3 linked regions of the Xenopus tropicalis genome follow. The protein of the gene in region 2 interacts with the protein of the main gene of each other region in a pairwise test. Links are inferred from orthologs where the notes say so. Each region holds a gene or a part of one and is shown on either strand. Other genes may lie near its edges. The genes, in order: obi1, tceanc and csrnp1.

Evidence for each region.
Region 1: the proteins of tceanc (region 2) and obi1 interact in binary tests that used the Homo sapiens proteins (3 or more experiments, as listed by UniProt). The two-hybrid records come from large-scale screens. The link is inferred for Xenopus tropicalis from reciprocal best matches to the Homo sapiens genes TCEANC and OBI1.
Region 3: the proteins of tceanc (region 2) and csrnp1 interact in binary tests that used the Homo sapiens proteins (3 or more experiments, as listed by UniProt). The two-hybrid records come from large-scale screens. The link is inferred for Xenopus tropicalis from reciprocal best matches to the Homo sapiens genes TCEANC and CSRNP1.

Annotation. Positions count from the first base shown.
Region 1 is NC_030678.2:125,575,075-125,578,990, forward strand, and holds the end of obi1 (ORC ubiquitin ligase 1), read left to right. Parts: intron 1-1,470; coding exon 1,471-2,806; 3' UTR 2,807-3,336; downstream 3,337-3,916. UniProt on the Homo sapiens protein: E3 ubiquitin ligase essential for DNA replication origin activation during S phase.
Region 2 is NC_030678.2:105,787,265-105,789,595, forward strand, and holds the end of tceanc (transcription elongation factor A N-terminal and central domain-containing protein), read right to left. Parts: intron 2,078-2,331; 5' UTR 2,076-2,077; coding exon 1,026-2,075; 3' UTR 535-1,025; downstream 1-534.
Region 3 is NC_030682.2:13,330,404-13,334,649, reverse strand, and holds the start of csrnp1 (cysteine/serine-rich nuclear protein 1), read right to left. Parts: upstream 2,850-4,246; 5' UTR 2,760-2,849; intron 1-2,759. UniProt on the Homo sapiens protein: Binds to the consensus sequence 5'-AGAGTG-3' and has transcriptional activator activity. May have a tumor-suppressor function. May play a role in apoptosis.

The sequences.
Region 1 (3,916 bases), about 20 Mb from region 2:
GCATAGGCTGGATCCAGCCAATCACTGCCTGATTTCTTTGGCCATGGACCAGCACTGGATAATGTTAGGTCAGCAGCCTTCCACCCAAATTACAGACTAATGTAACTAGGGGGAAGCAGTCTGTGTCATTACTGTGCCTTTCTGCTGACTCTCACTTGTCCCTTATACCATTCAGACACCAGTAGATATTCCCCTGCTTGCACTTGCTTAAGAGTCATAACTTCAGGCCAGAAATAATCAAGGCATTTTTATATCAAAAGAATGCAAAGTATTCACACTAAATATTTACAATATAGTTAGACCCATCATTTATGACATTTATTATTATTTCTTATGCTTATAAGTGCTGCTCATTTATTGGTCTTGTAAGTTTCACACACTGGTAGAAAAAAAGCACAGACTTCTTAAGATAATTTCACAAACATTAATTAAGAATGTTTCCCATTCTGATTTTAATTAAAGATATTAATGACTAAGCTGTAATTACCCTACAGACATAAATTATGCACATTTTCTATGATTTATTCACAGGGGGCTTTAAAACAATGGACATGCAAAAACTGATAGCATTTCTAATTCCTTATTTAGATTATAGCATGCATTGCCTTAATGTTTGTTTAAATGTTCTTAGAAAACATGAATTTGTTTATGGTTCTTCATCACCTTCCACTACTATGGATTATAATGAATGCACTGTGTAAATAAGTGTATTATTTATTTGCTAAAGTTCTGAATTCCTTTTGGATGTACAGATATTGTGGGCATGTCATCAGTGACAGTATGGTGAGGGAGTGCACCAAATGACTCCCTACTACAAAGGAACTACTCCTAACTAAGACATACTTTCAATGTTTAGAGCGGCTTATCAATTTTCAGAAGCATATATCCTAAAAACGCTTTTAAAACTTTTTTTTTTTTTTTTTTTTTAGATACATTTAAGTTTTGGGTGCTACATCTATAAAAATGTATATGTGTGAGTGTGTTACGTATCGCTTGTATATGAATATAATGGCAATGGGCATTGGCTTTTTATTGAAGTGTTCTATCAATGGATATTATGGAGGGGCATATTTAAGATTGCTTGGGTTTTTCGTCACAAGAAATCTTTAAGGAAGCTCCACGTGAGTTTACTAATCACCTGGTGTTTTGTGCCGAAAAAAGTTTGGCAATATCTGTAATTTTACCATAACAGGCTTTTAGAACAAAGAAAAACTTTGGCACATAAAAGCTGCCTCATCTTTCTATAAGCATGTATAGGCAAACTTCCGAAGATTGCCGAATATTTTCCGTCACAAAACCCAGCGTGATTAGAACACTCACACAGGGTTTCCTTTATGATTGCCTGAGCCTGAAGGCTCAGATAATCCTAAATGAGCCCCCCCTATGTGCAGTGCTAAATTATTAATACAATGCATTTCAATAAGCTGTTGAATCAGAATTAAATAACATTTAATCTCTTTTGTATTTTAGGTTTGGTAGATTTACAGTGGCTGCCCTCCATGCTAAGATTGACCAGTATGAAAAGGAAATGAACAGGCTAAAAAAAGCTCTTGAGAGAAGTGATAAGTACATAGAAGAACTGGAAGTGCAGGTGGACCAGTTGAAAAGGGCTGCAGATCTGAAACAGGATGAGAGCTCACAGAATGAAAATTCAGTCCATGATAAAGACACTGTAAATTCTGAAATAGGTTGTACAGAACTTTATGAAGGAGTGAAACTAGAACAAATGGGTGAGAAACCTGAAAAACATGACATAAATAAAGAGAATTCCAGCGATACATGCCCAGCTGCAAATAATGAAAAATCACATGTACACAGATCAGAATATCTTACGCAGACAGGGTGCTCCCTTAATTTTCAAAAGGAGCGTAAAATGTTTCTAAGTAGCGGTTCTGCCATGTGGAAGGAGAGCATGAAGGGTCCACATGATAATATCACATCACAAAATAAGCAAACGGAGACTTACACGCCAACTAAAGAAAAAGAAATCCATGAGTACAATAGTCCAAGCACATCGCTGTCTTTCAGCTCTCTTCAGCTAAACAGTCCGGACTGTAAATTGTCTCTTCCATCAAATCAAGTGAATGCAAAAAAACCCTTAACTTATCTTAGAAAATTAGTTTTTGAGGACTATCCTAAAAAAGGAAAACCAAATAGTTTTTCCAGTGCAAATAATAATATACCAAAACCTTTTAATGAACAAAAATCTGAATATATGACTTGTGAAGTCAAACATAAACATCAGAGAGGTAACCTAAAGGAAAGTGACATGCAATCAGAAGGCCAGATACTGCAAGCATTTTCTTTACCAAGCAGTGGTGAAGTGCATCACACCACAACCACCAGTGAAAGTCCCATGGATACTTTTTTACATAATGTCAACAATCTGGATTCCTTGATGTCAACATTGGAAGGCAATAAAAGCCTTCATTACCACAGTGTTACCGCTGATGCTGTCATGCATTTAAATTCACAGCCAGGGAATGGACTTCAAGCCTTTTTTTCAAATCCACATACTAGGGACGGACATTTTCCTCTTGAAAGTCAATCTTCCGATAAGTCTCACATCAATGATTTTCACACAAGTGGGAGGACTTCAAGTTTGGTGCTGCCTTTTAATGATATGCCACAGATTAAATATCAAAATACAACGGAGTCCTCTAATATTCTCACAAACTTAAATGCTTCAGAGCTAGCTAGTAATTCCTGTTGTACATCTTACACTAATAATAAGCATGGCCCTGCATCAAAACGAAAGCTCCTTAATACCATATGTGAAAGTCCACCTAAGACCATGAAGCCATAAATTTGTTTCTTTCATGGAAACATCATGGGAAGTAACTGTTTCATCATGCCAATAATACAGTACTTTATTTTTATCCTTGAAGGAAAATGTTAAAGCTTTAGCACATTTTTAAGCATTCCAAAAAGTTGCAATGAAATAATGTTTTTTGCAGATAAGAGACATTAGGCCAATGTATATAATTATCTATTACAATTACATATAGTCTGTGATATCGCCCTTGTTGTCTTTGGTGGTTAAATAATGGGAAATATAAAACTTTTGGTTTTTTGATTTCTCTGGCTATTTCTTTACCCACTTAGTATACTTCTCCCTCAAACCTCCTGGCATTGTGACCTGCTTTATCTTACTCTTGTTTCTAAGGCTGATGACATGGTGTGCTTTTCAGCCCATTGCCTCCTGCTGCTCCCATGTCAATGGAGCCCATAAAAGGTCTTTTTTGTTTGCGTGTGTTTCAGCCAGCTTAGAAACATCATATGTGCCATTTTTTTTTCACCTTTGGCATTTTTATTCACATTACATATCAACAAGTTTAATTAAACAAAAACAATGCTTTCTTTCAAGTTTTCACTCCTTTAAAGTACGCAGGTATTTAAAGTGTCAAGCTATTGCAAGAAATTAGTTCTTGCTATAACATCTTAAACTGAGTATAGTAAAGGTTCATTTTATTGCGAGTGACCTTATTAAGGGACACATTTCTGTCCAATATCTCATTCCAAAATTAAAGATATAGCACGTGCTCCTATTGGTTTTATAACAGGTTTGCCACTGGTTGTAAAATATTGATGGTGTGATTTGCCTCCATTCAGGCCAGACTTACAGTTCATTTTCTGTGTGTATTAGTAAAGTACTTCCTCTCACATCTTAGCCAATTCTGTGTACACCTCACTTTATGCACGGTGGCATTCTGTTGCTGAAACAGAAAAAAAACCCTCTCCCAAACTATTGCCACTAAGTAGAAAGCACAGAATTGTTACAATGTTGTTCTGTATGACATAATGTTAAGGTTTACTGTAACTTGCCCCAGGCAATTATCTCTTCTCCACCAAACTTTACATTCAAAATAAGATATTATGGTAGATGGCATACTCCTGATGTTTGCCAAGACATGTT
Region 2 (2,331 bases):
CTAATACCGGTCTATTAACTCAGTCTATTAACAGTTTACTTATTCCTTAGGCTGGACATATACAGGTAAGACAGCATGTTGGCCTTTAAAACAGCAGTGGTCTGCAAAATTCAGGGAAATCTAAATGCATCACAAGAGGGCAGCCGTGCAGAGCAAATAGGCACCCACAGCCTAATGTGATCACTGGGCTGCAGGATTTTCAGCCAAAGCTAACAGATATCTGAACAAATAAACATTTACTTTAGTGTGTGATTTTTGCTCAATTGTTTTTGTCTACTGTGGCAAATGTATCTCTTTATGTCTTTTTATACCTTCTACTTTTCATAGTAATATTGCCAATTTATATTAACAGTGTATATTGTTTATTTAAATTAAAATTAAATATTCCTTTTACAGCACAGTACTGCCCAAAAGGTAGGTTGTAACCCAGCAGATTTTGAGTTGCTGACCAGCAGATTACTGGATAACTGTTCTAGTTACATCTAGTTACAAATGATTCAGATATTAATTATGAGGCCTGGGAAATGGGTGGTGTTTTTTTAAATATTAATATATGCTTTGTCTTGTAATGCAATGACCCAAAGACCCTATCTCAATCGACTTTTACTAAATACAGAATCCCATATCAGTAATGTCTGGGCACCATAGATATAATAATAATACTCCATTTCTACATTTATTATACATGTCTGAGGGGGCTGCCACAGTACCCTACGGAATTCTCAGTGAATGAAATATTGATCACAAATAGATATTTGTTGTGACAGTTTTGTTAAAAAAATGCTTTGCCAAGGATAGACTGTTTTAACTCTTATTCTTATGGTATTCAAAGAGGCACTGTTGTATATTAATAAATTAGACACTTTTAAGGTTATACTCTGAAATAAGTGTAGACATAACAGTTTTAAAGTAAGTTTTAAAATAATCTTAGTTCTTGTTCACTAAAATAAATAATTTATGTCCTGATCATTTACCTATTGTTAGAAAAAAAAAAGCCAAACACAGTTCAAGTCCAATGTGCAAACTCATAGGCAGACCCATCTATTGTGGTACCATTGTTCACCACATTCATTACATATTACAAATGTCATCATCTCCTCATCAGGGTTTCCTGTTCGTACCCAACCTGGAAGAAAAAGTGTCCCCCTAGATATCATTGTTACTGTACAGTTAAACTTATCACACCTCCGACATCTGATCTTATTGGTGTGAACACCATCAACTCCTTGTGGTAGCTGATGCTCCTGAACACAGGTTTCAGTGTAGTTTGCTCTAAGATTCCTTAATTCATCGCAGGCCATTTCCATAACACCCATCTCAGCAAATACCTTAGGACTTAAAGCTCTGGATAAAATCTGCATCTTTAAATGGGAATTTTTAGGATTTTTCAAATTGGAAATTTTGCTTCTGATGCAGTTTCTGTATTTCTTGGTATTACCAGCATGTATTTTATAGATGTTCTCTTCAATTGCCTTTGCTAAATTCTGCAGTTTCTCTTGGCATTCCGAGTCTTCTCTCAATGCTTGGTATAAGAGCTCTGTGCATTTGGTTCTCAGAGCCAAATCTTCAGCGTTTACTTTCTTAGGAACTTCATGGTCTGTAACAGATTCCTCATGGTTACCATAACAATCTTGTGCGCTTGAATCGGATTTGTTTAGATTGAATTTGTAAGAAGATGGGCTACTTGTGCTTTTATTAATCAATATTTTTTGTTCACTGTTGTGAACTTGATCTTGGATATCGACAGCTAGTTTCTCAGGACCTTCTTTGTTTTCACATATTTTACTACAATGCTCACAAATGCAGCTAGTTTCATGGCAACACTTTCTATATAGTTTTTTCCATTTGGACAATAAAACTTTTGCCTTTAATTTCAATGCTCCTCTTGGACAGGTCTTAAGAACTCTGTAAACAACTCTGACAATATCAGTACCCTGCAGAATTCCTGATGTGACTTCTGCTTTTTCAAAGTAAGTAAGGTGGAATGCAAGGTCTTCATATTTTCTCTCAGCCAGAAGATTTTCCACTTCTAACGCTCTGGAAACAAGCTCCTTATTAATGTCTTTGTGTAGCATTTCTACAGTTGGGAAAAAAGAAGGCAACATAAAAAATCTCTTTCTAGCTGAAGTGTTTAAATATTGGTCTTTTAAGTTTCTCAGTTCTTTCTCAGTAAGTTTTTCTTTTATGAACTGACCTTACATATCTGAACTTTTAAATGCAATTCATTTAGGCTGCCCAATAAAATAGGGCCCTAAAGCTATAAGGCTTTAAAGAAACTAATATTACTCAGCTACTAAGAAGAGTGGAGAAGCTATTTCTTTCACCAACTAT
Region 3 (4,246 bases), on a different chromosome or scaffold from region 2:
AGTAACCCCCTCGGGTAGTGGGAGTTTTAGTCCAACATTGTCCAAGGATGTAGAAACCCATCAGAACATAAACAGGTCGGCCTGTACCATGAGTCACGGGGGTGCACGCCAAGTAGCTGCCAATTAAATCCACGGAAGCCTGGCGGATACGCAGGGAAGGGACAGCGTGGAAAAGGCCAGTTGCTACAACAATGAGCCCATCTCCTTTCCTGGAGAATTTCCCAAGAGCCGGGCAATGTACCCACTGCCGGAAACAAGCGGGGGGACCTGGGGGGGCACTATGTTCGCTGGCACCTGTACCCCTCTATTGCACCTGCCTGATGCAGCACATACCCAGATGCAGCACACAATCCCCCCCCTCCATAGATAAGAGCATTTCCCACAGAATACAATGCAGGGCAAGGAAGTGGGGGATGGAAGTAATGCAGAAGGCTGGGGGGGGGGGTTAATGGGGGGGAGGAGGAGGAGACGGTGTCTTCTGGCATCTCAGCCAATATGAGTGCAAGGGAGCGGGGGAATCGCCGGGACCCCTGCGGGGAAGTAGTTTAGCCCTCTGGTGCCTGGGAAATATCTGGGCGACTCTCAGCGCCAATAGCCAGGGCTCACGCGTTAATTACGAGGCAATTAGCAGCCAGTCACCTTAACGACACGGGATCCAATAAACACAACAACGGTAATCACAATGATCATAGTAATAATAATGAGATAATAATAATAATAATGAGCCGCACAAGGCAAGCGGCTCAATAAGTAGGAGAATAAAAGCTCATTAAAGGGGAAGTACAGCCCCATGCCAACCTTGGGACAAATACAGTAGAAAATAATACTCAGATATGGGAATTGCAGAATGCACCAGGGTTGGGAGGGGGATCCTTTTGCACTGCTCACTTCCTGTACAGATGGAACAGGAAGTGGGAAATTCACAGCTAAATATTCCCAGCAGATTTAGTTTTAGAAGTGAGCAGCCAAAGTTATAGCCTCAACGTTTGCTCATTTATTGTACTGTACAGCGCTGCGTACATAAGTAGCACTTTATAAATATAGATACACATACATTAGGACTATTAGCCACTTCAGCCATATGATGTTATGAACTACAAGTCCCAGAATCCCCCCCAAAAGCTCTGGGAATGTTAGTCCATATATCCATAGTCCTTATGCCATATATATCAGAACTTAATAACATTAATGACCACTAGGCAATCAGCTAGACAGCAATAGGCTTCAAGCCTTAGTCATCACTTTACAGCACTGCTGCAAACAGAAAAGTGACCTTCGGTCCCAATGAAACTGGCTGCCAAGCAATACCCTGTACTTTCATAGTAACTCAGGTGTTGGCCTTGGGGGGGGGGGGGGGGGTGATACAACTGGAATACACAAGGAGGTGCCAAAATAGGTGGTTATATCCCCTTCAGGCCCATGTTGCAGTGCATTGTGGTCAGGCCAAACGTGTCAAGTCCAGTGAGTGCTCTTAATGGATTAATGCCCCGGTGTGGGGCAGCAGTAACACCCCTCTCTGTCCATTGTCAAACATAAGGGTAACTTCCAGCAAATTCTCCTGTGAGTCACAGCCAATCAGATGACCACCCCCCTTCCTTTCCACTTTTTGCCTAAAATCTGATTTAATTGTAAGCTCTTTAGGGCAGACAGTAGTATGAATGAGTGAGGCCTCACACACACACATCCTATCCACATACCATTGCCCAGAATGATGTAAATTAGTAAATTCCAACTTGTGCTTCCCATAGCACACAAACATAGAAAAGTGTTGATTGTAAAAGTTGCACAACAATAACCCAACATCTGAGACAGTAACTAGAAGCAGCAGCAGATTGGGGGGGGGGGGGGTGTTGTTTATAAGGCAGTATCAAAACAGCAGCCAGGCTGTAACCACAGAGCCATCTTATCAGGAAAGTACACACAAGCAAAGTGCAGGGCTGCCCAAACATTCACATGAGTAAGAGGAGACAGGGGGCAGCTCTGAAGGAGGGGGGGGGGGGTTACATACAATGGGCAGGGATTGGTTCAGTCAGAGCCACAGGGCTTCTATGTGTGTACCCAAACACTTAATATATCTAACAAGGTGCCCTGTCCAGCCCTGCCTGGCACTGTCCCCCAAACAGAAAAACAACCCCCCAAAACAGAACTCATCCAGCCCAATGGCAAATAAGAAAAATCGATACAGGTAGGAAAGCAGTGGGAATACCAAGCAGACCAACAGAACTGGATAGAATGTTTCCAGACAAGGGATAGAATGTTTCCAGACAAGAGATAGAATGTTTCCAGACAAGGGATAGAATGTTTCCAGACAAGGGATAGAATGTTTCCAGACAAGGGATAGAATGTTTCCAGACAAGGGATAGAATGTTTCCAGACAAGGGACAGAATGTTTCCAGACAAGGGACAGAATGTTTCCAGACAAGGGACAGAAGTTCCAGCTGACACTATTGAGCGCCAAACATTTAAAGAGCCCAGGGTGCAGTTCCTTAGTTCCAACACTAGAGGTCGCGCCTTCCCCGCTGAGCGGCGCTGCTCCGGCTGCCCGGGCTGTAGTATCAGTCAGTGTTACGGGCTGGAGCCTTTGTACCCAGCGCTGCACCCTCAGCCTCTCCCAGCGTCAGGCGCCCCTAGTGTGGGAAATAGAGCAAAGCACCCCTGCACCCCCCCAGGCACCGACCCCCTCTCAAACCCCTCTCCCCCATTCATAACTGCCCCGAACCCCGACTTGTGACTGTGCAGCCCCCCAGCCTGTGGCTCACCTTGCCCGGGCTCCTGCTGCACAATGGGGCGCTGGCGGCGCTAGTTGCTGCTCATAGTCCGGCGGTAGCGATGTGCTCCCTGCGCTGCTCCCCCAGCTCTGCCTGCCCGCACCGGGAGCTCTGCCTTTTTCGTCAGTGGAAAAACTCCTGGGCTGGTGACGCAGGCGGTGACAGGGAGCCAGACAGGCCGGGCAGCCAGTGAGTAACCCGGCCCTTCCCTCCGCCCCGGCCCGGCCCTCCGCCTCCTCCTTCCCCCCAGCCCACACTCTGCTTCCTGCGCTCCTTCTCCCATACACTGTGCCCCCTCCCCTGAGGCACAGGGATCGGCATGCTGCCTGCTACTGCTCCCCCATCATTCCTGCACAGCTGCACCTTCCCACTAATTAGCGGGACCCCCCCTGCCTGCTGCACCTTCCCATTAATTAGGGGGACCCCCCCTGCCTGCTGCACCTTCCCATTAATTAGGGGGACCCCCCCTGCCTGCTGCACCTTCCCATTAATTAGGGGGACCCCCCCTGCCTGCTGCACCTTCCCATTAATTAGGGGGACCCCCCCTGCCTGCTGCTCTGTGCCATTAATTAGGGGGACCCCCCCTGCCTGCTGCTCTGTCCCATTAATTAGGGGGACACACTGCCTGCTGCCAGCCATGTATTATAGGAAGCCCCCACACTCACTCACACCCTATTTATTATAGTGAACCCCATACTCATTGCCTATTTATTATAGGGGTCCCCAGATATATTACCCAATACTGCACCCTATTTATTATTGGGGTTCCCAGACACACTGCCCCCTACAACACCCTAATTATAATAAGACCCAAAAGACACTCTGCCTTCTGCACCCCATTTATAATAACCCCCCCCCCCCGCACACTGCTTGGTTATGTATCCCTTTATATCTTTATATTGGGACCCCCAGGCACACTGACTGTTACTGCATCTGATTTATAATAGGGGCTCCTAAACTCACTGCTTGCTCCTGTATCCCATTTATTATAGGGACCCCCAGACACACTGCCTTTATTAATAGGGACCCCCAGACACACTGCCTTTATTAATAGGGACCCCCAGACACACTGCCTTTATTAATAGGGACCCCCAGACACACTGCCTTTATTAATAGGGCCCCCCAGACACACTGCCTTTATTAATAGGGCCCCCCAGGCACACTGCCTTTATTAATAGGGCCCCCCAGGCACACTGCCTTTATTAATAGGGACCCCCAGGCACACTGCCTTTATTAATAGGGCCCCCCAGGCACACTGCCTTTATTAATAGGGCCCCCCAGGCACACTGCCTTTATTAATAGGGACCCCCAGGCACACTGCCTTTATTAATAGGGCCCCCCAGGCACACTGCCTTTATTAATAGGGCCCCCCAGACACACTGCCTTTATTAATAGGACCCCCCAGACACACTGCCTTTATTAATAGGGCCCCCCAGACACACTGCCTTTATTAATAGGGCCCCCCAGACACACTGCCT